3 linked regions of the Lonchura striata genome follow. The protein of the gene in region 1 purifies or fractionates together with the protein of each later gene. This does not show direct contact. Links are inferred from orthologs where the notes say so. Each region holds a gene or a part of one and is shown in the gene's direction. Other genes may lie near its edges. The genes, in order: AKAP9, CDK5RAP2 and PRKAR2A.

Region 1 (9,854 bases):
TTGGTTTTGGAAACAAGAAAAACACTTTGGTGTGCTCAACTTGATTGTGTCTGATTGAAGCATGCTAGCAAACCCACAATTATTCAAATACTAAGTGAGTGCCTGGATCATGTACATGGAAAGTTTTAGTGTCTGATTTCTTCTGTCACCTCTTATAATAAAATTTACTTTCATTTAGGAAAAAAAAGGCTTGCTGTACAGACATTTGGTGGGACACTGGTTGCAATGGTTAATATAGATTTGCCTAACTTCACAGCTGCAGACAGGGGTTTAAATTACATTTTTTCCTAATTGCTTTTTCTTGTATGGGAACATTTCATTTTCATCCTCAGTGCCTGCTTTTTTCACAGACTTTGGTACTTTCCTTTAGAAATACATATAAGAGAATAGAAATTTTAGCTGTTACACAGGAACTTATTCTAAAATATTCATCAGTTGCCTCATTTAATAATTTTTAATACTGCTATGCCTCACCAGTGATTTCTAAAAGAAAACATGCAAAGAAACAGAAAAAACCCCCAACAACAAAAACACCCATGCTTTTAAAAGCATGTCTTCCTTACATCTCCAGCTCACCTACTTTTTAGCCACCAAGCCTCACAGTTTGTTCTGTAATGGTATCTGTTCTGCTCTGCTTTGAAGGAGAGAACATTTGTCTCTTTCTGAAATACAAGCTGGTCCTAACATAAATAACACACCTAATGCCCCTGTGGCAAAAGTTTTTATAACATGCAGTTGGACTAGCTGAATAAAATAGAACAAGTTCTACCTGAAATTTGTGTTGACTTCTACTTACTAACAGCCAAGTAACATAAATAGGTAATCAGTAATCAGCAGTCTGTGAAATTGGGAACTTTACCTATTTTACGTGAATCACCTGCCTCCTTCAAGCAAGCCAACCAGGCAGCACTCTGGGAGATTCCAGTGCCAAGGCTCAGTGCAGCTGAAGAGTAGAAGGTAAGGGACAGATCTGGCACAACATGCTGTGACAAAGGCACAGGTAAGATAGTCATTAAGCCAACTTCATATTCTTCATGCAAGCTCACACTGAGGTAGAGGCAAATCTGGTTACGATGCACTATGATAGGTATGCACTAAGGCAGTACCATCTGCCATAGAACTCCCACTAGGTTCAGTGGAAGCAAGTGCATGTCCTGGTCAAATAAAACCTCCACCATGGTCATCTCTCAGAGACAGCAGGTCAAGAGCCACAGGAGAACTGCTGGATGTGCTGTGATGGTGATAAAAGACATCCCCCTTTCCCTTGCCATTGTCTCTGATGGGTAATATGATTTGTCTTAAAGTGAGAACACTAGATAGGAACTGCAGGAGGAATGATTTGGATGCTCACATAATCAATCCATTCCACAGATGGGAGAGTTGTGGTGATTGCTATTGACTTTGGTATGCATCAGGCTGCAAAATCTATAAAATACTCCTGCAGACTAGGCCAGCTGAGTAAGCTAGTATCCTGAGGTTGCAGGCAGCTATCTGGTGATCCCCAGCCCCACAGGGACACCTGCAGGGTATGTCCAGCCCTAAGACAGAGAACATTCACTTTTGGATGGGTAAGTAAAGGTGCTGAGTTCTGGTAAAACACAAAGTTAAAATTCTAAAGTAGCTACACAGGTGCTTTGTAATTATAAATTCTGCAAGGCCAAAGACTGTAAACCTGTTCATTTGTAGACAAACCTGCTTATATTATATACTGCATTGACAGCATTTAAATGCAGTATTAGCAAATAATCTAATCATAATAATCTACATAATGAGTGTCATATTTCTTGTGCCTGACCAAGAGTCTTCTCTCTATCACTCTGCTACACATACATATAAGAAGGTCATACCTATTAACAGCAGAATTACTCCTTTACAAATGACATTGACCAAATACAGACATTCAAAACTAAAAAAACAAACAAAACCACAAACAAACAAAACCCCCCCAAAATCACCAAAAAACCAAACCTATAACCTATTTTTTTTTAATTTAAGAATTTTAAGAATTTAAGTTTAAATTTAAAACTAGAAAGTGGCACAATCGTTGTATTGCTGCTAGGAAAATATCTGACTGTTGTCAGGTATTTTTTTCTTACAAGATGGATCAGGGAATCTTATATGATCCATATAGGAGTCTTTCATTCTGATATGTATTTTTGTTGAAGAAAATAAATTAGAGTTAGATAGTATTGTTATTAAGAGGTATTGCTGAAGTTATAACACCTGAGAATATACAATATCTATGCTCCTTTTGTGTTGGAAGAGATTGTATATGCCTGTGATAATTTTTACATTTTTACATATTATTTGTGCTTTACCAGAGGCATGCTGACAGCCCTCTGATTCTGGCTCCAATGGACTGTGTCAGAATTTGAATCTCCTAATCAGAACTTTGTGATTATCACACATGGTCTTTAGGCTTTATCTTTTGGCTTCATAGTCCACTAAAGCACCACAATGAAAGTCACCAGGCATACATTCTCTGAACAGTGAATAAAGGAAACAGAAGAGGTAGGAAGAATGTGGAGTTTCATTGTTAGAGAAAATGCTGTAGATGAAGAAGCCTTTGTCCTTTTCCGCAGACAAACACAACTAAAAATTAGGTCTGATATTTGAAGATGGTTCAGTTCCATTTTACATACAAACATTTTTCAATAATAAATTTAGTTCTAAATAAAAATAATAGATGGCCAAAACAGCAATTCTTCCTGTTTTGTAGAATGTCTGATCTGTATTTCTTATCCTGTTAATCTCTTTCACATCACATATGCTGTCGAAAGCAGTTTACACGTTTAATTTATGTGAATTTAATAAGTGTTAAAGTTATTCAGCTTTCTTTCTTACATTCTTGAGCAAATGAACATTATTAGTCAATCCTGAGAATTAAGCAAACAAGATGAATATCTTCCTGTAACCGAAAGTTTATTTGGCTAACCAAGTTGTGAATTCCAGACAGCTTGCCCTGCATGAATGATAAAATAAGAATTAAAATAGGTGAAGTAGGAAATCATACTGTAAGGGTTTGTTTTTTGGTTTTTTATTTCCCTAGGAGAAAAAGTCCTGTTTTTCCAATGTTGAGAGGATATGGAAATATAATTCCTTGAGATATTTTATCTAGTAGTAATTGCCACATAATTCTATTATTATTTATCAGTATGGTTTTCATTACTTTCATAGTCATGAACTAGGTGTTAAGCTAAAATATAATATAATTACATGGATATAAGTCTGTAAGTAAAAGGAAAATTCAGCTTATCAATTTTTAGCATTAACTCAAGAACCCATTTAATTATAGGATTTGGGATGTTTGTAATTATGTTCTAAATGGGATATTTACTGATAAATTAATAATTTATTTTTAAATCTAAGTGTCATATGTGTGTGAAATTTTACTGACATCTACAGCAGGGGCCTCTAACAGCCAAGAGGAATGTCACTGACACAGAAATGGTGATTTATTTTTCCCTCAGGGGTGTCCAGGACTTTGTAGTTGCTGGGAAAAAAACTTCTATTTGTACAGGCTTTGAGGGGGTACTTCAATTTACTGACTCAGGAACATTTTTTTAAAAAAATGAACTCAAATTTATGTTCCTATAAAAATCTTTCCTCTTTGATTAATTCTTATTTTCACCTGCTGCTTTCCCCTATAACACGATTTTCCTGTAGTGAAATGGCAAAGTCTGAGAACTTTAACTGAAACATATGTCTTGCTTCAAATATGAAACAACAGATAATGCAGACATTTTTCATTCCGTATGATGGATGGTGTTTTCTTTTTACATAAATGGTATACGTTCCTTTTTGACTAAAGGCTGAGAGCATGGTTTTGTAAACACAGGAATGCACATAACCTGTACCTATTAACAAATTATTTCAGACTTTTCCATGAAATGTAATGGAGGAGGAAAGGAAAATCCTTTAAAATGTCGGATTGTAGGTTTAGTTTACTTTGGTAGTAATATGGGTTTTGTTGCTAGGACACCTAATTGATTTTTTTAAAAAACTTGTTCCTGGTCAGTAATACTGTGCAAATACTGTTGTCTTTTGTAATTTTTTTTTTTTGTTTGTTTTTTTGGGCGTATCCTGTCTTTGGTGGAAAATTCAAGCAAGGAAAGAATGTATATAAAGGAACCATGTTCAAAAGATCAGCAAAGCTGAGATCTAAGTTAAATCAGAAAGACTTTGAGTTTTGCATATAGTAAAACAGCATGATTCCAAATGCAGAATAAGGAATCCGTTCACATTGCCGCTCGTACACGTTCCAGGGAAGCCTTTTTTCTTCCTTTGTGTGTAAGCCTGTGCCATCTATCGCACCATCACAAACCGAACCCACCTCAGGGGGAACTGAAAGAAAAAGCACAATAGGACCACGTGATACAAAGTGCAATTCGCCTTTCAAGGCACACATTAAGTAGACTATTAAATTATCTCAGAATATTGCTCTGTATTTGCTGAGGTATAGAAATTGTATGAGCATTTAATAGCCACGTGCCATATTCCCCATTGTGCTTTTAACACGCTTCTTCCAGCCCGTCGGGCACGATGAGTGCATGGTAAGTAATGTTAACATGGGGGGCTACACATCCTTTGTTATCATCCTTACACAGTCTGCGGCACACGCTCGGGAAGCTCGTTGTGCTGCCCAGCCTTAGAGCGAGCTGTAGGATCCCTGCAATTGTGCGAGCCGCGCGCAGGAGCAGGGCAGCACCTGGAAAATCGGAACTGTCAGAATTAGCCCTGTAGCCACGGCACTGGCGGGGCAGCAGAGTTCGGGTGCTGCCCGTTCAGAGCCCTGCGTCGCAGCGCAGCGAGCGCCGGCCCCTCGGCGATGCTGTTCTTTTGTGAGCAGCGGGACCCCCGCCTCTGCCCGCACGGCGCGGGGTGTGGAGGGGGCGTGGAGGGGGTGTGCCCGCCGGCGCCGTCCGCGCCCGCTGCCCCCGGCGCCGCCGCCGCCCTGCAGGGTCAAGCCCGCTCCTCCGGGGGCGGCTCCGGCGGGACTGGGCGGGGGTCGCCGGGGGGCAGAGGCGCGGAAGCGGCCCGGGCTCGGGGAGGAGGGGCCGGCGGCGGCGGGAGGAGGGGCGGGCGGCCGCACGTCACTTTCCCCGGCCGCGTGTTTACGTGGAGCTGAAGATGGCGGCGCCGGTGGCCCCGCCGCGGCAGTTGTCGTCGCTGTGAGGCGGGAGGGGACCGGACCGGACAGCGAGCGTGTGCGCCCCGGCTGAGGGGAGGGCGCGGGGCGAGCCCCTTCTCCTGCTGCCGGTAACACCCTGCTCTCCCGCACAGACGCCATGGAGGACGAGGAGCGGCTGAAGAAGCTGGAGGCTGGGAAAGCCAAGGTAGGAGGAGGAGGCGGTGGCGTGGCGGGGAGACCGCGGGGTGAGGGCGGGGGAGGTTGTCAGCGGGGCCGGGCCGAGCCGCGCGGCGCGGCGGCGGAGCGGGGCTGCGGCAGGGGCTCGGCGCGAGGCCCCGCCGCGAACAAAGCCGCGGGCGGAGGAGGCGCCTGGCGCCGCCCGCCCCGCGCTCCCCCGCCCGCCGCGGGGCCGCGCCGCGCTCCCGGCCGGGCGGTGGGGGCCGGTGCCCGGCGGCACCGCCCCGACACCTGGCCTGCCACAGGTGCCGGTCACGGGGCCGGACGCTGACAGCCCGGACAGCGCCCGCTGCGGCGCCGGACGGAGGAAGAACCCAGGAGGAGGAGGAGAAGGAGCGTTAACCTCATTACCCTTCGCGTCGTGGCGCGAATCCCCTTTACCTCATAAGCCTGGGAAACCCTGTGAACCTGTAAGGAAGTTTATGAAACCGACAGCTGTTCTGAGTGTGGAGCTAATGCTGTGTGAAAGCCTCAGGCGGCCGAGGATTAGCGGTGCCCGTGCCGGCGGGCCGGGAATGCCGTGACTCGCCGCGGGACCCCCCCGGTGCCGCAGCCGCCACCGCCCGGGGCTGTCAGGCGGCTCAGGCGCTGCTCTGCGGGCTAACCCAAGGGTTAGTCGGGGAGCTTGTCATTTTACCTTGAGCGTGGCTCACTACACACTGGCTGCGAAGCATTTCGCCTTCTGGGCAGCAGACCAGACTACACTTCAGGAGGACCTTTTTTTAACTTCAAAGAAAGCTTTGGTGTGGTCAACGAGATAAGCTAATTAATGGCATTCTAGATAAAATTAGCGTTTTGGCGTTAGGTATCATCTATTTCCTTCCTGTAATCATAGCTAAATGATAAGAGTTCAGAAGTTGATCAGTCATTCATGCTGAAGATATACATGTAACTTGGCAGGAGCTAGTAGTTGAGGCAAAATGAAGACAAGCTAAAGATGAAACTATGAAGCATCATTTTCACATCTGATTTATGCAGACTATAGAAAACATATAGTTCATCTGAAAAGTATTGAATAGGTATTTTGCTGTATTAGTAAAAAACTTCTTAACTCAGTGTGTTTCTCTTAACTCAGTGTGTTTGAGTTAAAAATGTCTGTTGGGAAAATCTCGTAGATGGATTTGTATGTTTATATAGAAAAACCTGTTCCTTAAATGCTTAGTGCAAGAGTGGTGTTTGCACACCATTATGTAGTACTCATAAAAGGCTCTGGGAGAAATTAGATCCTGGTGGCAGTACATTGTGTCACAGATTGGCTATTTTTTTTGCAGAAAATTAGTAGTTAATAAAGAAAATGGATGAAGTAAATTTGCCAGTATTATAAAGCACAATTAAGAATTTAGATTTTTCTGCCCATATTGGGCTGGGGTTAACACAGAAAATTAATGACAATTACTGAAAATTGAACCAAAAATTTGCTCTAGCAGGTATTCAGTGGCTTTTTTTCAAACTTCAAGAAAAGACAGGTACACTTTACTAATTTATTCTGTATTTTAAGAGTACTGTTATAACTTTCACAATTGTTCTAGTCTTTTCTGTCTAAAACCTAATGCTGTTCTTGTATTTGTCTGGAGACTTTAGGGTTCTATGCTTTTAAATGTCCCCTGTGACTTAAGTCATTATCACTCTTTAAAGCTATACATGGTTTATGTGAAAAGGGACTATAAAAGCAGTGTGAGTTTTTTCAGATTTTTTTTTTGTGTTCTTTGTTGCCTTTACCCCCTTTTTACATGTGAATGTAGAAATCTGTTGTATAGTGGAGATTAGGTCACAGTCTTTCAGTGACAAATATCACTGATAAAAGCAGAAAATAAGAAATTGTGTTAACAGAGAATGAAAGCAGGAGTTACTCCTGCAGTTGCTTTTCTCTTTTTCAGGCACATTCACAGTGTAATCAGTGCATCTCCTAAAACTGCTTGGCTCCAATGAATTATCTTCTGAAAACCACAGCAACAAGCATCCAGAAAACTTTTGAGCTTTATCACTTGAGAATTATTTAAGTAAAATAGCTGAGAAAATTTGTTTAAGTATATGTGCAAAAAGTGCAATATTGCTATACTGCAGACACCTTAAACCATCCACCTGAAATGACAAACTTTAAATAAGATGTTCCATAAACTGCAGGATTAATGTAGGTGATCGGGAGTCTGGTGAAAGAGCCTAGTAGAGGTCATGAAGGTGGCTGGTACATTGCTAACAGTGGAGTTACTATGCACCATTGAGACCTGGATTCTGGTTTGGTTTGGGTTGGTTTTTTCCTTGTAAAGTTGGCACTGCTGAATCTCAGTGTCTGCTTATTAAACAATATGAACTTGCTTGTAAAGCAGCCATTTGGTTGTTTTCTAATATCAAGTAGGCAAATGTGGTATTTGGTTTTGTGTGAATCTATCTCGAATGGAACTTTGTCTTGATGTCTTCAAGACACTGTCCCCCCACATTGATCTTTTACAGAGAAGTGTATTAAAAGTGGATTTTCTGCAAATTAATTTTCTTCGGAGTCCTTCTTTATTGTTCCTGGAAACGAGAAGCTGCATTCTGAATCTTACCTTGATTGAATGGTGCTAAGTGTATTTAAGCCTGGCAGAATAGGTCTCAATGTGAACACACAGCCTTTGCCAGTACATAATTTGAAAGTGGAATAAAAAGTCTTGATGGAGGCTCACCAATGTTCATGTGTACCTGATGATTCTGGGAGACTACACCCAAGTCTGCATTATGAAGCAGTTTGCACCACATGTTGTTGTTCTGTCTGGTAAAGCCTGCAAAGGCAAGGGTGGCACAAAGTTAAACCCAGGAAATTACACACTCCTTTTTTCAGACCTGTAGTCATTAATTTTCTTTTGCCATGAGGTAAATCTGCTGAATATTAACCCAACTTCTATAAATGTCTGTCTTCCTTCCATTGAAAATGATCTCTCAGTTCCTGTATAGAACTCTCTTCTCCCCCAAATAGGCTGTTTCTTTATCTGATCTCATGATGTCATTATGGAAGCAAGAAGAGTGTTTGTTAGAAAGGCCAGTTAAGGCAAACAGTGTTGACTGTGATGGAAAGTGGAAGGGAGAAGATGTGTACCAGCAACAGAAATATAGATGTAGCCTGAAAGGTTGATCAGTGCCTTAAAACACAGTGACATAAGAAATCCATCAGATGTGTTTTGTGCCTTGCTGAGGAGATTCTGGAATATTGTTGATGGCCTGAGATAGTGAATGTGTAAAAAAGGACAATAGAGGATGGTGGTTGAAGATCTTGATATGGCATACTATGTGCGGATTCCTGTGTGCACCAGTTTGCTTGGAAACTCATCTAACATCAAAGAGGGTACTATTTATGGTAGTTGGATTGGGTATTTTAATTTCATGTATGTATTTAGCAGCTTAGGAACTGGCTTTTCTTATTAGGATGTGGGACTGTCTTGATCAGCTTTCAAAACTACAGAGTTTGCTAGCTTCAGAATAAGACCACGGTGATTGGATTCCCTTGTCAGAAAGTGGCTGAGGGTATTTTGGTGTAAAGCTTTTGAAATTTATAAAAATATTTTAATTTCTGTGCACACAGGCACACATGAAAGGCACAGCTATTATAACTGGCAAAATTGAGATGAAGCTATCAATAGCAGGTTTTATGGAATGATCCATTTTACAGTACTGAAATTTAGTTAGCAAAGTATTTAAATAAGTGTTTAAATTTCTAGTGAGCAAAGGGCCCTCCATAGCTATATGGTTGCTTTTCCCATGGGAGGGGTGAACAAGGGAGAGATGCTAATACACTTTGTAAGTTCTTTTGGGTTGGTCTAGGATTTCAGGTCTGATGTTAGAAATACATAATTAATGTTTTGTTTTTCAAAGCTTTTATGAATGCTTGAAATACATTGTTGCAGTGTTCTAAGAAACTGTGTAATTGTTGGAGAACCTGAAGAAATTAGTGAGTTGGTTTAGTTTAAACCATCAACTTGAGAAGAGAGGTTGTTACTGCTTTTGATCTGTACCAGAAAATTACTGAGCTGATAGAACAGTGATGTCGGTTGCAGAAGCTCTAATGGCTCTGAGTAGACAAGTATTACAGGTTGTATAACTAATTTGGAAAGTTATCTTTGCAAATTTAATAGTCAAAAGAAATAATTGCTTATTTTGTCATCTGGTCATGCATGTAAGTATTTCAGATGGCTGAAGATGAAAATTACATGTATTATTAAAATAGCATTGTCTAAGAGTCTGGGAATGTTTGCTGTTTGCATTGCTGTGTCTTTCTTTTTTGAGGGAAGAAAAAGATTTTCCTCACTCTTCTCTAGCCTCTTTGGACTGAGTAGTTTTGGAAGTCTCATGGGAAGGTGTTGATACGTTGGGGTTTTTTTAAATAAAACACTCAAGCAAACATGGAATAATTATGTGACTCAGTGATTAAAGCTCTAATCAAAATCCCCAGAAGAACTCAAAGTATAGATTGTATAAAACACAGTCCTTTTAAACTCCCTGTAATATACCTGAA
Region 2 (10,148 bases), on another chromosome or scaffold:
CAGAATGTGGAATTGCATATAGGTCCAAGCTAATGGAAAAGTTCCCATTGCCTGCAGTGGGCCTGGTGAGGTCCCTTACTTCAGGTAATAAATCTGGCTTGTGTCATTCAGAGCAATGTTACTTTTAGTTATAAAATGGGGGAGGACTGGAGGAGAAAAATCTGGATATTGCTAATCCTCGAGTTACTCATCAAACTTCTAAAGAGCAGGATGGTGACGAAACAGAAAATTTCCTGGAAGTTATAATTATTTAGAGGTGCTGATCTAGCAATACACTTGCACTTGGTCACTTCATGGCGTGAGGGAAGGTAATTTAGTAAGTGTTGGGCTTCTGGACTGATGCTAGCCAGCATATCGAAGGACAGGTTGTTCACTTTAATGTTTCTAAAATACTTTAGCAGATTTTTTAATCTCTGCCACAAAACACCTCTTCCTTAAATTTTGCTGTGACTGTGGGCTGCTTTGTAACAGGAAGAGGCTTGGATTTTGTCTTACTGTAGAAATTGAGACCATCTGCTCAAGCAGAGCGTGGGCTCAGGTGCTGAGCCCTCCTAGTCCCTGCCTGCCACAGCACAGGAGGTGTTGGCACCTGGGCTCCTTCTGACCTCCAAAGTAATCCAAAAACTTTGTGTTTGGGAAGAGGAGGAGTCAGGATGCCCTGCAGGGTGAGACAGCTGCTGCCTGTGGATTGCACAGCTGGATAAAGGGATGGAGACAGCCTGGAAAACGCGATGGGAACTGGGCGGGAGGACCTGGCTGCCCAGATTTGGATGGCACAGGATGTTCCTGAACAGGGAGCACAGTGAGGATGTGGCACTGGCACCGTGCTTGTCAAATGGCAAAATGACACAGCAGCCACCTCCTGCCACCCAGGCATTGGCACAGAGGAACAACAGTAATAAAAGGAGATCAATACCTCAGCAAGGAAAGAATAAAGACCTTCATGTTTGACTTTGGTGATGTGAGATCAGATCGCCCGTGGTGTTACCAGTCCCCTGGCACCACAGGAGGGGAGAAAGAAGCTGAGCTCTTTCTGTCTCCAGTCACCTTGGGCTGGGCTGTACCTGGAGGGGTGGCAGAGCTCAAACTTGTGCCAGGGTGCTGAGGCCACCAGCACCATGATGTGTGTCATCGCTTGTCGCGAGGCTCCCCAGGTGCTGAGGTTTGTCCTGGGGGGGGTGAGGGCAGGTAAACCAGAAATGGACTCTCAGGGCTGTTCTGAGGCCCAGCTGAGCAGCAGTGAGGCCAGGGCAGGGCATCTTGGTGACTTGTGGGGCTGAGGTGGCAATCCAGGTACATGTGGTGCTCCTGATAGATACCTGTAGCACATTCTGCCTGGGAATGCTGGCCAGCTGCAGTGCTGGGCTGGCACAGAGAAGGGCACTCATGGCATGGGACGGGGCTGCAGAGCAGAGGGGAGCTGTGACAGGGCAGGGGGGCTGGTGGATGTGGGAAAGCAGCTCCAGGCAGCTCTTGGCAGGGTGAGGGCCCAGCTGGTCAGGCTGGGGCAAGTCCAGCCTGGCAGTAAAGGCAAAGGGACAGAAGGAGCAGATGAAGGGCACAGGGCTGGGGTGGGGCAGGGCTCGGGGCAGCTTGCAGGGCTCTCAGCTTGGGGAGCACTTGGAGTGCAACACACGTGCAGAAAAGTTGGGCTAATGAGGAGAGATGCTGTCCAATCTCGTGGACCACTGTAGCTGGAAATAGCTACGAGGAGCACTAGCCCTGGGGAGCTTCAGGAGATGTCAGCCACTGGAATGATAATTCCTTTGGACCAGGCTGAGCAAACTTAGCAGGCATTTAGGAAAGAGGAGGGGATATATCCAACATCCTTCAGGTATCCTGGGCCAGTTAACCACTGCTGTGCAGAATCATCCTCTTCAATGTTACAGGCAATGTAAATGTGGCAGAAAGTTTGCAGTCTCCTTTAAATAAAGGATATAAAAATAGTTTTCTCTTTGAAGTGAAATTTAGATTGAGCTCCCACAGGACTCTGCTCTTTATGTGTCAGAGGAATGGATTAAAATAAGAAAAATGTGGGCCTTAAAAGTTTTACTTGCTCCCATCTGAAACCCATCAGTCTCACTCTACATCCAAATACGGCGTCTCCCAAGCATATGCTATGCTTACAAATGCATTTCTAAAAAGAAAAAAAAAAGTGTATGATTTGAATATATGTCAGAATTTATACAGAAGAATGTTATTTAAAATGAATAAAAATAAATGTATATAATTTGTATCTATGCCACTTGGATTTTTGCATTCGTGTTTTTGTTCATTGAATTTCAGCAAGAGTCTTCCCAGTGACAGAAAGGATTGAATCCAATCTCATCCCAGTAATAACATTTGTTCCAAGAGAATTATTTCTTCATTATGCCCCTGTATGCGAGATGAGAACCAAGGCACAAAAATGTTTTCTATCACAGATATTCATAAGCACAGTTGACATTCTGTGTCAGAAAATCCAACTGAAAAATGAACCCTCTGATCTCTTGTGTCTGCTATGAACAATCCCAGCCCTCAGCTGTGTTTGGGAGCTCCACAGGCAATCACTGTTTTCCCACTGTTTTCTGTATCATTCACATGGACACATTTTGTCAGAGATGTGAATCACTAGCAACAAAACCCTCAGAGCAAAGCTGGAAATGGGATGAGGATATTGTATCAGACTTTTCCCCATGACCACAGATGTCTTTCAAAGGCCATTTTTCTTACAAATATTCTGAAATCCACATCTGTGGCATCAGTTCTGGGAGTGTTTGCAGAGAGGCCTGTGGAAAACTTGCATTTCCTTCTCACTTGGCAGAGTTAGGAAATTGATTTTGTTTTGCAAACGACTGCTAAAGGCTCTTTTTTGGTGAAAGCTCTGTGTGACTCTACAATTCTTGTTAAGCAAAGAACTTGGAGAGGTAAGGCTTCATACACTGATCGAGCATGTGTTTTTAAGTGTTCATGCAGAGGTTTGACTGGGCTGTGTAAGTAAGGGCCACACTGGTGAAATTCAAGGGAGTTTATTGAGATTTGCATTAGCAGAGCGGTTGGATCGTGCATGACCTAACTTAGGAAGAATCTTGCTGTGAATGGTGTGAGGAGGAGGCAGAACTGAGTCTGAACCAGGTCCCCAGAGCAGGGAGTGAGAAGAGCAGGGTGAGGGGACCCGTGCTCAGCTGGTGGTGACATCAGCCCTCCTTGTGCCAGCACAGCCAGCAGCTGGCTCCCGTCCTGCTCAGCTCAGCCCTACACTGCACTGCCCAGAAATCCTTTCCCAGACTCCCTTTAGGACTTTGCCTGAGGTGGGAAGGATCTCAGGCTGCCTTGAGAAGAAAGAAAGTTCCAACAAAGCTTCCTGGTGTGAGGGTTTAGTGTAATCTCCCCAAATGTGCTGCTAATGAATTTAAGGTTAAACAACACTAAGCAGATTATCTGAAGGCATGTTGTTAACTACTTCTAAACAACACATTTCCCAGTCCTTTCTGCCCCTTGCAGCTTCCTGATGCTACTGCGGGTTGTAAAACATGGGGCAGTGCAGGAAATTTCCCAGGGAAATTTTCCATCCTGGCTGTGTGTATACATGGAATCATAGGACCACAGAATGGTTTGGGTTGGAAAGGACCTAAAAGGCCATCTCATTTCCCCTCCTGCCATGGGCAGGGACACCTTCCACTAGAGCAGGTTGCTCCAAGCCACCTTGCCCCTGAGCACTTCCAGGGAAGATAGGCAGGGATGTATGTCTATATATCCTTATCTTTGTCCATCAGACAGCCACTTCATGAAGTAATGAACTTCACAAGGAGGGCCCTGCTGATTTTATTTTGACTACAGTGTGTTGGACATGTGTGTGAGCTGTGACTCTGCAGACTTGTGTGCTCTGTGTGCAGAGTAATTTACCCTGCACTTGTGGCTGATGGATGCTGATTTAAAAACCCACATCAAATATGTAACACCTCGCTGAAACCTTAAACAAGATTAAACAAATTGGTATTATCCTTTCAAGTGAGTGGACTTACTCATTTTATGAAGATCTGCTCTGTAAATGAGGAAAACCCACATTTCAGCCTGGCTGATCAGATCCTGGTGCCATATGGCAGACCTGATTTTGTGAACTTAATTTCAGCTTGGCAGAGGCCACTGCAAAAGGGTTTCAGTCACATAAGGTGACCAGTGTCTCTTGAGGTCTCTCACGGGGACTTGAAGGGACTAAACATCCCTTGGGGTCATCAGACCCCAAATGCAAAGCATGAGGCTTGTCCAGTTGGACAGGAGATGGGCTGAAGAGCTTTACTTGTGCTAAGTAGTGCCTGGCACTTCTGGCAGTTTGGGACTTTGCTGCAGCTCCGTCAGGCACTTGTACACATGAAGCTGAAAGAATTAAGCAGGGATGGGAAGCCCATCATGACCATACACATCCAGAGCTGCAGTGGCTGCTCCCACCAGTCTGGGGCATTTGACAGGTGAGTGCCAATGTAAACAGTGCAGGTACATGGAGGAAGTGAAGTTCACAGGGCACCAGGCCAACTGGGAATAATAAACTCACAGAACTGGGAATAATGAGCTCACAGAATTCATGGCCTGTGGTCAGCCCTTATCCGTGGCCTAATTCCTGGCTGGGTAAGAGTCCCCTTGAGATAGTCTAAAGGAAAGTGAGTGAAACCTGACCTGAGTTGGTACAAAAGAGGAAACCAAATCCAAAAGAGGAAACCAAATCTAATGCACAGGGTCACTCCTGTGCTTCCTTGTGTTACAGAGAATGCTAAGAGCAAGTCCCAGCATGAGGGACTTGAGTCCCACTTGATTCTTGATGCACTCTGGGGCAGTGGCTGGAAGGCAGCCCAGTAGAAAATGACCTGGGAGTGCTGTTTGACATGGCTGAACAAGTGCCCAGGTGGGCAAGAAGGCCAATGGCTCCTGGTTTATACCAGCAATAGTGTGCCACAGATGCAGGGCAGTGATTGTCCCCTGTGCTGAGCACGGGTGAGGTTCCACAAGTGCTGTGTCCAGTTCTGGGCCCCTTGTGAGCAGAAAGACCTTGAGGAGCTGGAGCGTGTCCAGGGAAGGGGCTGGAGCCCCAGGAGAGGCTGAGGGAGCTGGGAAGGGGCTCAGCCTGGAGAAAAGGAGGCTCAGGGGAGACCTGGTGGCTCTGCACAGCTCCTGACAGGAGGGGACAGCCAGGGGGGTCGGGCACTGCTCCAGGGAACAATAGGGACAATAGGGAACGGCTTCAAGCTGTAGGGGCAAGGTTCAGGTTGGACATCAGGAGAAATTTCTTCACAAAATGGGTGATTAGACATTATGAAGGGGCTGCCTAGAGAGGTGATAGAATCACTGTCCTTGGAGGTGTCCAGGGAACGACTGGACATGGCACTCAGTGCGCTGGGCTGGCTGACAAGGCAGGGATTAGTCAAAGGTTGGATTCCGTATCTCAGGGGTCTTTTCCAGCCTAAATAATTCTGTGACTCTGTGATCATGTAAATATCGCCGGGGGTATTTCAATCCTGCACACGGGTTCTAAATGAATTTAAGGAAGGCAAAGGATGCAGAGCAAGCAGGGTCCGGAGCTCCACCTGTGACCGGCGCTGTTACCCAGGCCATGCCCCGCGCAGGAGGGGCCACAACAGCAGCGTTTTATCCCGTTCAGCTCGATGTTCAGAAATATCGAATGCGGTGGCATTTTCTCCCACAAAAAGGGGGACAGCCGACACGCTTACAACTTTGCTTCATCAAAAAAATTCCCAGATGATTCAGAACCCGCCCGTGCGGACGATGTCAGCAGCTGCCTGCAGCAGGCCGATTGCGATGAGCAGTGACCAGAACGTGGAACTAACGCGTGTTTATTTCTTCCGCCAAGCCCAGTGACGGCTTTGCGCAGCGGGGAACGCGGTGAACACCAGCTCCAGCGGCTCTGCCAGGCTCGGCAGGAGCCGGCGCCTGGTGCCTCCCTTCCAAATGGGTGCGGTAATGGAGCAGGGCCCGGGCAGCGGCGGGGATCACCCGCTCCCCGCTCGCTGCGCGCCGCCTCGGGCGCCCCGTCCCCTCAGGCGGTCAGCGCGGGGCTCCGTCCCTCACAGCGCCCGGCCGCCCTGCCCTCAGCGGCCGCTCTGCCCTGCCCTCAGCGGCCGCCCGGCTCTGCCCTCAGCGGCCGCTCTGCCCTCAGCAGCCGCCCCGCTCTGCCCTCAGCGGCCGCCCGGCTCTACCCGCAGCGGCCGCTCTGCCCGCAGTGGCCGCCCCGCTCTGCCCGCAGCGGCCGCCCCGCTCTGCCCTCAGCCGACATGGCCGCTGCCCTCATCAAACAGGGCGGCTCCCGTTGCGTTCCCATTGCGCCCGCCCCCCGCGCGCCCCGCGGCGGCTTCAGCGCGCTCGACGCGAAGATGGCGGAAGCGATTGCGGGCGTTTGAATTCCAGGGAAGCCGCCAAAGCCGCGCACAAAGGCGGCGGGAGCCGCGGCAGCCGCGGGGCCCGTCCATGGATTCGCTGCCGGGCGAGGACCCGACGCTGCCGCTGGCGTTCGAGGGCAGGTACGGGGGAGCTGCGGGCGGGGCAGCGCGGTGCGTGTGGCGGGCCCGGCCGCCGATGGGGTGAGGGGGGCGAGCCCGCGGGGTTGTGCTCTCAGCGCTCTCCTCCTTCTTCCCCAGCGCCCTGCAGCTCCCGGACATCTCCCGCGGGGACCCCCCGCCCGGCCCGCCCGGCCGACAAGGTAAGGCTGGTCGCGGCCGCAGCCCGCGCATCCCTCCCTGCCCGGCTCGGTGCTTCGCGCTGCTCCCCAAACCTGCGGCAAAAAGGAACTCAAACTGGCGGCAAAAACGAAAAAAAAAAAAAAAAGGTTTTAAGTGATGCGCTTTTTAACGTAATTTAAGAGTTTTTAACACGACAGCTGCTGCCGTCACTGCTGTGTGCTCGCTGCCTGTGGTCATGAGGGCTTTCAGCCTTATATAAGATGATCAGCGGTTTTGTGCGGCGTGTACTTAAAATACTTGGAATATCCAGCGGGGCCGCGCTGCTCGGTCACATTCTGCTCAGGGCTCGGGAAGCTGCGCGCTGTGCATCTCCCAGTTCTTGCTGTGAGGGTTTATTCTTGACAGCGCACCTCACACAGCCGAATTCCAGTGTGCATCATCATTTAGGTGGGTAATGGAATTTGGGAGTTTATGTGATAGACAGCTTTCTGTGATCAGAAAGGAATGTAGATACTGGCACGTAATGTAAACAGGGGGCCAAGCAGCGACTCTGTCACTTCCCTAAAGGTTTTGTTGTGTTTAGATTAGTGTAGACCTTTGCCAAATTGAAGCCCTACTTAGAGAGATTCTGCTGTCTGAACTTGTTCTGTCTACTTAATGTCTAGTGGTACCAGATGTGGCAGAAGACACAGTCTCACCAGCTCGAGCTCGGACCATGAAGGATTATGAAAATGTAAGCAGAACTTTTAATGTAAGACTCAGTGACAAATTGATAGCCAAGATATTTCCAACGTGCTGGCTGATGTGTTGACTCTTAGTTTGTGTCAGTTGATACACATCTTTTGGAGGTGTGACCAGGTGAATGTCCCTGTCCATTCCTTGAACCTCCATTTTTATGTGCTGCTTTCAAAAACTGAGGTAGGAATTTGTTGCTCAGAGTGGCCAACTGCTGTGCTGAAGTTGTGAAACAAAATTGGCACCCTCTGCTCAGAAGTTCCTGCAGCTCAGAAACATCAGAACTTGGTTTGCACATCTGTTGCTGATTTATTTCAGGGAAGCATCAAGTTTATTTTCATTTAGGTTAGTGTGGGATTTGGCTTTTTAATTCATTGACTTTAATATAATGCCTTTTAACGTCATAGCATGAGTGTGCTTGGAATGCTTGTGTTGTAGAAGTCCAGTATCATTGTGACAGTTTTGTAGATAAAAGTATTTTGGCACTTACTAGAATATAAGGGAAAACATTAGATTTTTAAAAATATGTTAACTATACAGGCTTTTAAAATTGAATAAGACAGTTGTTTATGTCTGCTGGATGGTTTGATTGGGCTGTGTTGCAGGACAACTTCCCAGTTAAGGACTAGAGTGAAAAACTTTTAAGGTATTTATTGTTGTGTGAAGAAGCTGTAGAGGGGAAGGCAGTCTGAAATCTCTGAGATGATTGCTAGAGATAAAAGCTGTGACTGCTGCCTTTGGGCTGTGCCAAGAGTCTGCAGTTTCAGTGTGCTGCTGCTGCTACCTTTTGTGGCAATGCTGTGTTTGAAATGAGCGTTTCTTACAAACTCTTTCAGTTTCTTATGGCCTTACATGACCTCTGAGAAGAAAGCTCTGCTCTTTGCTCAGAATGTAAAGCTTGTTTTGGAAAGCCTTTGGTGAAAAGGATGTTTTTTTGCAGTCTGTATCTATTTCCCTTTCTCTCTTGTTTCTGTGTGTTGGCTGGGGTAGACAGACACTGCCTTGGCATTGCTATGTGCTTAAAATCTTTTACTGTGATGTGTGCCAAAGACCCCTGTCCAGAATATACATTTTGCTAGTGTTTTACTGTCTGCAGGGTTCCTGGGCACGGGAACAAGAAGTTGCAGAAAGAAGGAAAAATCTGTTGCTGTGTGTCCTGTGTGATGTAGAGCAGGGGCCTCCCCACAGGTCTGGCATCCTGCTATGCTCAGACCCCTCATGGTAAACTGAGCTGTAAAACTTCCCCTGGGATGTAAACTCTGGATGCCAGTAGTGTAATGAAGCTCAAAGATCCACTGACATGAAGGAAGAAGAATATACATTAAACACAGTAAACTTATTTCTATAACTCTGTTATTCCTATAGGCTATAAGTAGGATGTAATGAAAAGAATGAGCTCTGACCTCATAGCTCAGAGAGAACAGGATGGATGTAATGACCCTTAAATGGGCTAAAAAGTGGATCCATGTAGGAAAGGTCCTTTAATGTTTATACCTGGAGCAGGTGCTGAGCTGTGCAATGTTGGAGGTGCAGATTTTTGAATTATTTATGGAGTCCCACTTTGTTGCAATATGGAGGTAACCATTCTGTTATAGAAAATATGATTACATGGGCAAAGTGAAAAGCATCTCTGAGGAGGACCTTGTTATGGGTAATGAGGTGTTCATGGGTATCACTTAAGGGAGCTGGCTAATAGTATTTGTGGGATTCTTCCTTGTCTCTCCAATCCTTCTTAGAGTTTTACTGTAAATCTAAAACAGCCTTTATAGTTGAAAACTGTTGTGCTGTGAAACCTCAGCCACTGCTGACAAATCCCTTTTGAACAAAACTGGCTCCATGCAGGCTTGGAACAGAGCTCATCTGAGCTAGGATTTGCTGCCATGCTGTTCATGCTGTGGAATATTTTGTGCAGGATGTATATAATTGTCTTGGTTTTCATTCCTTTTGTTTAAATACAGAAATCAAAATGCATAAAGGAATTAAGACTGAGTCTTCAAATGCATAAGTTCAGAGGGTTGTTTTTAAAATCTTTTTGCAGTGTGAGCTTTCTCACATTTTATATGTTTTCTTTCATTAAGCAATAACTTATAAATTGTCTGTATGCTCTAACATTCATCCAAGAAGCTGAACATCAGAGATGACATTTGTTTCACTCCTTGGTTTATGATTGCATCGTCTGTTTCATTTGCCTTTTGAAAATATTACCCTTAAGCACTTTGGTTTATCTCTGGTGCCACTGAAATACATGTAACAAGAGTTGTGAAATACTAAATTCTTTTGAAATTATTTTCTCCTTTTGACTCAGAAATATATTGAATGTAGGGAGACTAATTAGAAGTTTAGCTGGTACAACTTCAGAGTGTTTTTGTCACTTGGACTTTTTCTGAATGAGCAGGGAGTGTTGGGAATGATTTACTGACAGGTTGCTTCAGGGTATGGGAGTGAGCCACAAATTTTATGTAGGATTTTCAATTGCTCTGATGATTTTCCCTTCTGTGAATAATGTCAAAGCAGCTTTCTGGGCAGGGATTATTAAACTGAACAGTTGTTTGCAGATGCAGGTTCTGAGTGCAGTTACAGAAAGTAATCCTGGGTTTCACAAGCCAAGTATTTTGGAAATTGTATTGCTAATAATTTTTACAAATAGCACTGTAGTGTTCTGGAAAAGCCTACATAAATATTTTATTAGTAGCTCTGTAACATATTAGATTTCCATTTGCTGAAAGCATCTGGTAGGGGACATGA
Region 3 (9,868 bases), on another chromosome or scaffold:
CTTTTTTTAGTAGTGATGTCTGTGTACTCTAAGGCCAACATAACCCTCCAGCAGGATCAGGGCTACCCAGTGAGTGACTGGCTACCACAGACACACAGAAAGGTCTGCTCCCACCAGTTCCCTCTGCCCAGAATTCATACCAACCTCTGTGGAGAAGGTCTTAATGTAATGTTTTCAGTGCTGGGGCCAGAAACGAAAGTACAACCAAAGTGGGTACAGCTACCACTTTGTATGCAAGAGAACCAAGGGCTCAGCTAAGTCCTTATTTGAATATCCCCTGTTTACACAGCAGTGCTGTTGCTTAGGGCTCCTCTGACGTGGCAACCATAAACTCTACATCTGCTATATAATGTTACTCAGAGTAACATTAACTCTACATCTGCTATATAATGTTACTCAGGGTAGTTTAAACAACACGGTCATCCCACACGTCTTATGTCACAGATACTACTTTTATCTAGATTCAAACACGTGCCATTTTGCATCACAAGTATGACATGATAGTCAGAAGTATTTGTTTTTACATCTAAGTCAGATGATTTACAAAATCAGGTATTTTAAGGCTGGTATTTTCTACTGCCTGAAAATTTGTAGTTGTTACCAACAGAATCAGTGTTTTCTGTGTTCATAAGCTAAATGACACAAATGAAAATAGGATAATTTATACAGATGCTTCTCCCAACTTGATACTTTGACATTTATCAACAAATGCAGCAAGGCATCTTTCTAAGAATTATCCAAAATATTTCTGATGGACAAAAGGTAGTGTCAAGGTAACAGATTTCAAGCTGACACAAGCATTTATATGCATTTATTAAAAAAAAAAAACTTGACTTTTTTTCTCCTGTCTTTGTACTGTTGATAGATAGTCTCATATGATTTGCTGAAATACACAGTACTCAAGCTATTCACTCTAAAGGCTAACAAAAATACATACTAAATCATGCTTACTGTCACAAGCAAACCTACTGGTTAGACCACCAAAATTTGGTTTCTGAGGTTTAGCACTTTCCTGAGAAGGAACCACAGAGAGGCAGGAGAAGCAGCTTCATCTTGCACATGGTGTTCAAGGATCTCTACAGCCTGGTTGTTAAACCCAGGATCACTTGTTTGTTACTATTACTCCTGGTAAAATACAAACTCAGAAGGTTTGTGTACATTATGCACAAAGTTATTTGATGTTTATACACGTTTGCAGCAACAGGAGCAAGCAGTGGGTAGAAAAACATTTGAATGTTAAACATAGAAAACTTAAAATGCAAAACTCAGCATGTTTTTTTTACAATGAGGGTGGTCACCCATGGGAGAAACAGAGCAAGGGAAGTGGGATTTTTTTCATCTCTTTATATCTTAAAATGATGACTGCATACATTCAGTTCATAATGATATGGAAAAGCATTAGAGAATGAGACAGAATCATTTTTCTGCTGTGTAAAACCAGGGTGAGCCCACATTTTGGGATGTGGAGACCAGAACTGCACACAGTGCTCATGAAAGGCACAGAGAAGCTGAGCAGCTACAGAAAGGAGCATTTCATGTCATCCTGGGGAAGCAGCTGCTTTTGGAGGAGAGACCAGTAGGACTGGCAGATCTTAATTTTGAGAGGGCTGAGATAAGATTGAGGTTTACAAAAATCACGAAGTAGCAAATAAAACACAGGCAGAAACATAATTTGACAGATCCTGCAATACCAGGAGCAGGAAGAATTTGGTAAATCTGGGAAGAGTGCTCCAGATCTTAGAGAAAGAAGTGCTGCTTTATCTAACAGGTATTTAACTTCTGGAACTTGCTGCTATGCAAACCTTGGTCACTGGGTTCAGCACCAGGGGATGTGGAAAACGTGAGGCTGTGTTCACTAATAACTGCCATCAGAATATTTAGTGTTTTCTTGCATGATCCTTGTATGGAATTTGAAGGGAAGTGTAATTAATCCAAGATGTACATATGTTTATATAGTGTCTGAGCTCTGGCTGGTGCTGACAGGTTTATGAGAAGTGAATTATTACTCATTATAAAAGGATTTATTTTACTTTTTAAGGAGCCAGTCAGGAAGTTTAATCTGATTATTTTTCCCCAGTGCAAGACTACACAGACTATTTTGCTTTTTCTGCTGACAACTTTGCAGCTCCTGCCTGAGCAGGACAAGCACTGAAGCTCCACAACAGTTTCACTAATGACACATCAAAGTCACACAGATCTGGATAGAACAGGCAGAGTAAAGGGAAGAGACTTCACCACTTGGGAGCACAGACACGTGGTATATATGGGAATAGCTTTCAGCACTAAGAAATTATTAGGAGAACTATATACTGAAATAAATATATTTTGATGGGAATACTGTGGGGACCAACTTCATCAGCTACACAAGTCTTATCTAACTCCATACTGGGTACTGAACATGCCATGAAGCCAGAGGAAAAAAATTGCATTGGTCATGCTGCCTGAATTAAAAATGTTATTATAAAGAGGATAAAATTAAGGCTGCAAGTGCATTTTCTAATTTATTTTCTATCATTCTTTTAATGTAAATGCTTATTATAGTAATAATTTTAAAAGTTATGCCAATTCAGGGAGAAAGAAAGCATATGATGCACTCTCTGTATGCACAGCAGGCACTGTAACAATTAACTCGATCGCCGACAAGCTTCTCGCATATTTGTGCCTTCTGTTCTGATATTTACAAAAAAAAAAAAAGGGTATATAAGGAAACAGGATAAAATGTGGTGTAAATCAACTTGAAAATGCACTTTGTGTGACCTTGGATGCTTTTGATTTTGTCCGTTGACCTTCAGGAAGAGAATAAACAGCTCTGCTCTTTACTTTCCCCTGAAGCTGATTAGTTGTGTGTGGACATACAAATATCAGAAGGCCAATACAATGTAGCCCTTCAGAGACTTAACAGTATTTACTGTTAACATGTCTTTGTTTTTCTAATAAATAACCAGATTTATATTCACAGACACAAATGACACAAAATTATCAAACATTAAAAGTTAATACAAGAGCTGACTAATGCCAAAAGCAGGCAATTATAAGGTGGCTGGCTGCTGTGTAAAAAAATGGGAAAGAAAAGTAAGTGTATTCCCTTGGAATAAGACATTCCCTTTCTTCCTTTGAACCCTCCTGCCATTGCTTGTTACTATTATTTTGTTTTACCATTTTTACTGAATTTTTAAAATTTCATTTTACCTCTTCATTACCAGCAATATCTTCAGCATCCAACCAGCAAAGGGAAGATCTCATCAGAAATCTTAATTTTGTGGGAGAACTGACCATAGTTCTCTCATTGATCAGAATCTTTCTCTCTACCAGTTTTGTCAGTAGCTAAAGTACATATATTGAGCAGTGAAATGTGCTCTTGTAATATTTGAGACCACCAGACAGATAGTAATGGTAGGAATGGCAAATGAAAAATCAGTATCAATTATCTTTTGAAAAAGGCAGTAGGGCAACTGTTGTTCTTGCTGTACAAAATAATAGAAATTAAGAGCAACAGCTTCATACAAAATCATTGGATAAATTGCTAAGATGTGGCAAATCTACCTTCTGTGCTTTTTAAATTTTTTTTTTCACTTTATATGGATGCATAATGTAATCTTACTCCACATGCAAATATGGGAGCTGTATTACAAAGAACACTTTTATGTGCCATGAGATTTGCAACCAGCCTCCCTCGGTGAGAACCACCAGGAGAGGCACTGGGTGTGGTGCAGCAGCGATGAACAGGCTGCCTCTATCCAGTGAGAGCCATCTGGATGAGTGAGGGGATTCTCTGGCACACGAGCAAACAAAACCAAAACACACAGTACACCGCCTCAGCCAGTTCTGGGCTTCTAAGTGAAATTTTATATTTTGAGAACGAGTTGATTTTTGCTGCTTTATTGTTGAAACAAAAGAAGAATTAAATAAAAATATGTACACTGACAACATGCAGCGATGTCACTAAGCCAACATCCGTATTCTCCTTGAGTCATGTTTGCACAGGTTTATTTTGTCCCAAGATGAGCTTCCCAGCAACGTCAAACCTTAAGGGCTGATGGCTCCACTCCATGCAGCCCTTGGGCATCTGCCAAACCTCCCTTGTACACACAGATAACAGGTTTTGTACAACAAACACAAGCAAAAATCTGAATAAAGAGCATTTAATGGCATATAAGTGGATATCTCCAAATCTCACACATATCAGCAGTTGTGTGGGTGATGAGGCACTGGTGCAGGTCGTGCAGAGCTGTGGATGCCCCATGCCTTCAAGGCCAGATTGGATGGGGCTTGGAGCAACCTGGTCTAGTGGAAGGTGTTCCAGACCATGGCAGAGGGTTTGGAACTAGGTGACCTTTAGGGCTCCTTCCAACCCAAACCGTACCATTCTATGATTCTGTGTTTCATTTTACTGCAATTCTTATCTGTAATGCTTTATTCTTATCAGAACAATACTATTGCCACCCTTTCAGACTATATCATGGCTCTATTCAGTGTTTACCAAAAGGTGTGAAGACCTTGCACTAACTTAAGAATTGTTCTCTAATGACATAATTCTGACAAGAACCTGGGGGTCATAGGTCCTAAATAAAACTCCAAACAAGATCTGGATGGAAGTTTGATTGGATCTGACCAAGGTCAAAAAACCCTCGTTCTCCTGCTCCTGTGGGAGCTTTGAAACACCATCACATGCTCACATGTGGGGAAGGAGAACCTCTGTCCTTGGCACTGGTGATGCCACACCTTGACTGCTGTGTCTGGTTCTGGGCTCCTCAGTTCGGGAAGGACACTGAGGTGCTGGACTGAGCCCAGAGAAGGGAATGGAGCTGAGGAAGGGTCTGGAACACAAATCTGGTGAGGAGAAGCTGAGGGTGCTGGGGGTGTTTAGCATAGAGAGAAGGAAGCTCGAGAGGGATCTTATTGTTCTCTAGATGTACCTGAGAGTGTAGCCAGGTGGGGATCGGTCTTTTCTCTCATGACACCCACAAAAGGACAAGAGGACATGGCCTCAAGCTGTGCCAGGGGAGGTTTAGGCTGGACATTAGGTGGAATTCTTTCACAGAAAGGATGACTAGATATTGGAACAGGCTGCCCAGGGAGGTGGTGGAGTCACCGTCCTTGAACGTGTTTAAGGATTAAAGAAAGGACGTGGCACTCAGTGTCACGGTCTAGACACGACGGTGTTTGGTCAAAGGCTGTACTCTGTGATCTCAGAGGTCTTTTCCAACCTAATTGTTCTGTGATTCTGACGAGAAATGAGTGTACGGGGTCACTGATGCGAAATCAGAGAAAAGCAAAACCGCAGCAGCTACGGCGAGGAGGCGCCGGCCTGACCTCCTTCCCTCCCGGCATCCCGCCGCCAGCTTTGGCCCGGAGGTTTCCCAACACCGCTCCCACCGGCCCAGCCCGCCGGGACCGGGCTTCAGCGGCTCCGGCGGGCGCGGAACGGCGGGCGCCCATCAGCTCTCCGGAGAGCGGAACCATCCAGGCGCGCACCCAGTGACCCGACCCGACCCGTCCCGTCCCGTCCCGTCCCGTCCCGTCCCGTCCCGTCCCGTCCCGTCCCGTCCCGTCCCAGCCTCCCCCGCTCCCGCCCCGGCCCCGCCGCGCCCCGCGGTGACGCACGAGCCCCCCCCGCCCCCGGCCCCGCGCACGCGCGGCCGCGGCCCCGCGCCCGCTCCCGCGCCCGCTCCGCGCCTGCGCCGCGGGGCCGCTCCCGCCCCGTCCCGTCCCTCCCCTCCGCGCCCCGCGGCTCGTGTGACCGGAGCGGCGGGAGTCGGTCCGCGCCCGTCTGGGAGGCCCCGAGCCCGCACCGCCACCGCCAGCGGCACCGCCGGCCGCGGTCGCGGGGAGGGGCGGACGGAGGGAGGGAGGCAGGCAGGGAGGCGAGGGGGCCTCCCGGGTGTCCGGCACCATGAGCATCGAGATCCCGCCGGGCCTCACCGAGCTGCTGCAGGGCTACACGGTGGAGGTGCTGCGGCACCGGCCGTCCGACCTGCTGGGCTTCGCCGCCGAGTACTTCGCCCGCCTGCGGGATGCCCGCGACCAGGAGGCGGGCGGCGGCCGCAGGGTGGTCAGCTTCGACGGGGAGCCCATGCAGACCGAGTCCAACGGCGACGAGGAGCCCGACCGCGGTGACGACGAGTCCGACTCCGACTTCGAGCGTAAGTGCGGGCGCCGGGGCGCGGGGTCCGGCCGGGGGCTGCAGCCAGGGCCGCCTCCCCGCCGTGCCCTGGGCAGGGCGGGCAGCGAGGAGGGATTGAATGGGGGACAGGCTGCGCCGGCTCCCGCAGCCCCGCGCCGCTCCCCGTGCGCTGCCGGCGTGCTCCGGGAGCCCCGCCTGGCCCCGACCCCTGGGCCCGAGTGTCCGGCGCTGCCCCGGGCGGCCGGAGTGCCCCGGGGTCTGACCGGGGATCGCCGGGCAGCGAGCGCGCTGCCAAGCATGTGATAGGGAAGATCATGTGTTATTGTGCAACCTCTTGTGTACTTATCTTTACCTTTCTGTCTTTAAATCATTGTGGACCGGAGTGGTTGGGATTTTTTCGCGGAAAGCGGGGTGGTTTATTGCCGCTGTTGTGTATTTAAAGTGGCTATTAAAACGCACTGAAACAACTTTCGCTGTTTAGCAGCATATTAAAATTCAAAGCCACTTGTATATTGCTGTTCATACTAGTCTTGATGGTGGGAAAGATACTTAATCGGATCTGGACAATGAAATGCGATGTGATACTGAAATTTTTTATTCGGTCAGAATTATACTGTGTGTTTTAGGCTATGCAGAGTGTTTGTAATTGAGCCTCAGGGTTAGAAGTTATTTAAAATGCATGTGAATGGTGGTACTTGGCACACCCAGAATTTTTTGGAAGGAATACTTTCTCATTATTGGAAGGTAACTTAAAGGGGAGGGAAAGGTGAGAAAAGGCGTGCTTTCCCTGAACTTTCCGTGCCCTCGTTTGAAGGTCTTGTGCCCTTGACCTATAACGTAAAGGTTTCTGACTTTTATTGATAGAGGATCCTCTTTTAGACCAATTACTGGATGTCACCTTGTGGATGCAGTGTGCTCTTAACATCTACTCCCTGGTTAACAGTTTTAGAGTAACAGGAAGAAATTAAGCTATGGAACAAATAATTGTTTTTATTAAGGAAGCATTGAGACACCAGCTATTTTTTGGGTTTTTTTGCGGCACTTTTAGGCTGGGAACTTTAAAAAGTGAAATGTATCTTAAACTCTTGAAAATAGACACACAGGACATGGAATGTGCGAGAGGACAGGAATGAAATGTAGAGTCAGAATGAATTGAAAACCAGTTTGCAATTGGTGTCTGGGTTTGGATGTCCTTCTTCATGAAAGAGAAGTTCTGTTTAGGGCAGGAAGAAGAATGGATGAAAGGTGAAGGGTGAAGATGTGGGCACTGGTGGTGACTGAATTGAATTTAAGGGAATGTTCAAATATGAACACAGATTTATGGAAACTACAACTGATTTTTTGCCCTGCAACCACGTCAGCAGTATTTTCAAAGAAGTTAAAGTTTCTTGCAGAATATATTTTAAAATTAAACTTCACATTGGAAAAAATTCAGTAGATAGTTCAATGTAATTCTTAAAAATGTACAATGTCTTTGTATTTAATATTTTCCTTAAAAAAAATGGAGCCCAAACCCCCCAAAAAAATCCCAGCTAACAGAACCAAACAAAAAAAAACCACTCCACCAGAAAGTCTAATGTCTTTGGGTGCAGTTTGGCTATTTTGTGATCAGTTTACCTCAATTTGGGGTTTGAAATACTATCTTTAGGGAAGTAAGTGTAAAATTTTCTTTCTGAATGTTGCAGCTGCAGCTGGAGGGATCCTCTGAAGTTAAATGTTTCCAGATAAAGACATAAAAATTTAATGGTGCCCTACAGCTTTTCAAATGCAACTTTACACAGCGAGGCTGTCCTAAGCAGAAGGGTGGTTCCATTGCTTCATGTTTCTGCTTATCATCTTTCTATCTTAGTCAGAGAGAAAATTAAATTAACAAGGCTGGGCACTGTCACTTCTTGTAGTAGAGCCCTTTGTGCAAGTGCCACTGTCAGTAATGCTGTTTTGCTTCCTATCTGTAAACCCATGCTGTTCCCCCCTTGTGGTTTCCCAGGAACAGTGCCATGTTCTCTGTGGCAGCAGGTGAGGATCCCTCTGGAGGGTCAGGAAAATTATTCTTTCTTGCATTGGTTAACAATGACAGTCAACCATGGCTATGTGTTAATTAGATTTCTGTTTTAATGTTGTCTCTATCAATGAAAAATTTTAAATTAGAGGTTCTGATACCTGATCATTGTCATAAGTAGGACAGTACTTGTGCCTTGTGGAAGACAAGATCCTGGGTGCTTATATCTACTTAGTATTTAAAGAAGATGTGGAGATAGGGAAATGAGAGACTCCAATAATCCCATTGGATGGACCAGAATGCTATTTATAAAGACTGCAGTTTTCCATCTTAGGCAGTTTAGGAAAGACTTCAGTGAATTTCACTGTGCTTTCCTAGGTTATGCTTTGTTACCTTTGAGTTGCTGTGACAGGTCAAATGGATCTTTTAAACATGTTTCCATATCTGTTTATAAATAAAAAGATGAAATTGAGCTGTTGTTTTTCTAAGTTATGATGTTAAGGAAGCTTAAAGCTAGTTTAAATAATTACCCGTACTGTATATGTTGGCAGTAGGAAAGATCTTTAGAAATAATGTGCTTATCTTTGTGTGTGTGTGTCTGGCCCAGTATTAAATCTGTGTGTGTCGCTAGGCTGCATCTGCACACTCAGACTGAGATAACATTTCAGATAAGTTATGTGGGGCTTTTTGTATGCTGAGTGCATATGGTAATAGAAGCAAGAATAAGTCAGAAGGAGGTCCTGGCCTTTGGTGGAAGCTTTGTGGCAAATGTCTTCAAGTAGTCAGAGTGATGCCATAGTGGAACTCCATCCATGTGTTAAAAGTCACTGAAACTAGCTAGGCTACAAAAAAAAAAAAAAAAAAGCCACCCAAAAAAACCCCACTTTTATTCTCTCTTAGGATGAACACTCTTAGGTGATACTTAGGAAATTATTTCCAGGTTTATGTTTCCTGTCTGACCCCCCTGGAGTTTCATCCTTCATTTTAACTGTTCTTGTACATGTGATCAAAGGACGTCAGGATGTGGCTGTTCGTCAGAGTGCATTGTAAGGCATGTGTGAAAATAAAATGATGGTGGTTGTGGGGGAGCCCCCAGAAAGAGTTATCCATTGGGCTGTGGCAGATAATTTAAGAGATACAACACTTTCCTCAGAGCCTTTATTTGTTTGGTATAACTGCAAAATTGAGGATGTTGGGAGCGTTGGGAAAGGTGCAAAGCAAGACTTTCAAAAATCAGCCTGAGAACGTAACCAAGGACTGATATTTATTCTTAAAGTGGGTCCTTGACCATGACGCTTGTACTTCTAACAAGCAGGCTCTGAATGGATGTGTTAAGACTGAAATGAATGCCACAGAAATGGTCTGTTCACTGTTTGGATTACTGCTTTGGGAAACCTCCTGTTGCAGAGCACACCTGAAGGAGGGCAGAGGCTCTGCTTCCCTGTCCTTTGGGGCAGTTGCACTAAGGTGCAAAGTGCTGCACTGTGAACTTCCTGCTTTGTCTTAATTTTTGTAACAATAAAACCACCTTTATGTGTTTTTGGGGGTATGAAGTATAACTAACAATGGGACTGAAATATTTTTGGGGTTACACTAATTTAAGCAACTCGAATGTTTCAACTAATTACAAGTATTTTATTGCAAATAAAATTTTTCTTTCTTAGGATTTTGCCTTGATATTGAAAGAAAGATGATGAGCTTTTCAGCTGCTCCCTGAGCAAAAGAGAGCCCTTCTTAATATTTTG

The links.
Region 2: the proteins of AKAP9 (region 1) and CDK5RAP2 purify together in Homo sapiens (affinity purification with western blotting; 4 studies listed by BioGRID and IntAct, with this or other methods). This does not show direct contact. The link is inferred for Lonchura striata from reciprocal best matches to the Homo sapiens genes AKAP9 and CDK5RAP2.
Region 3: the proteins of AKAP9 (region 1) and PRKAR2A purify together in Homo sapiens (affinity purification with western blotting; 3 studies listed by BioGRID, with this or other methods). This does not show direct contact. The link is inferred for Lonchura striata from reciprocal best matches to the Homo sapiens genes AKAP9 and PRKAR2A.

What each region holds. Positions count from the first base shown.
Region 1 is NC_134603.1:133,864,333-133,874,186, reverse strand, and holds the start of AKAP9 (A-kinase anchor protein 9), read left to right. Parts: upstream 1-5,073; 5' UTR 5,074-5,288; coding exon 5,289-5,336; intron 5,337-9,854. UniProt on the Homo sapiens protein: Scaffolding protein that assembles several protein kinases and phosphatases on the centrosome and Golgi apparatus. Required to maintain the integrity of the Golgi apparatus. Required for microtubule nucleation at the cis-side of the Golgi apparatus.
Region 2 is NC_134624.1:1,083,064-1,093,211, forward strand, and holds the start of CDK5RAP2 (CDK5 regulatory subunit-associated protein 2), read left to right. Parts: upstream 1-6,328; 5' UTR 6,329-6,456; coding exon 6,457-6,509; intron 6,510-6,626; coding exon 6,627-6,688; intron 6,689-7,333; coding exon 7,334-7,401; intron 7,402-10,148. UniProt on the Homo sapiens protein: Potential regulator of CDK5 activity via its interaction with CDK5R1. Negative regulator of centriole disengagement (licensing) which maintains centriole engagement and cohesion. Involved in regulation of mitotic spindle orientation.
Region 3 is NC_134614.1:15,679,895-15,689,762, forward strand, and holds the start of PRKAR2A (cAMP-dependent protein kinase type II-alpha regulatory subunit), read left to right. Parts: upstream 1-5,731; 5' UTR 5,732-5,893; coding exon 5,894-6,143; intron 6,144-9,868. UniProt on the Homo sapiens protein: Regulatory subunit of the cAMP-dependent protein kinases involved in cAMP signaling in cells. Type II regulatory chains mediate membrane association by binding to anchoring proteins, including the MAP2 kinase.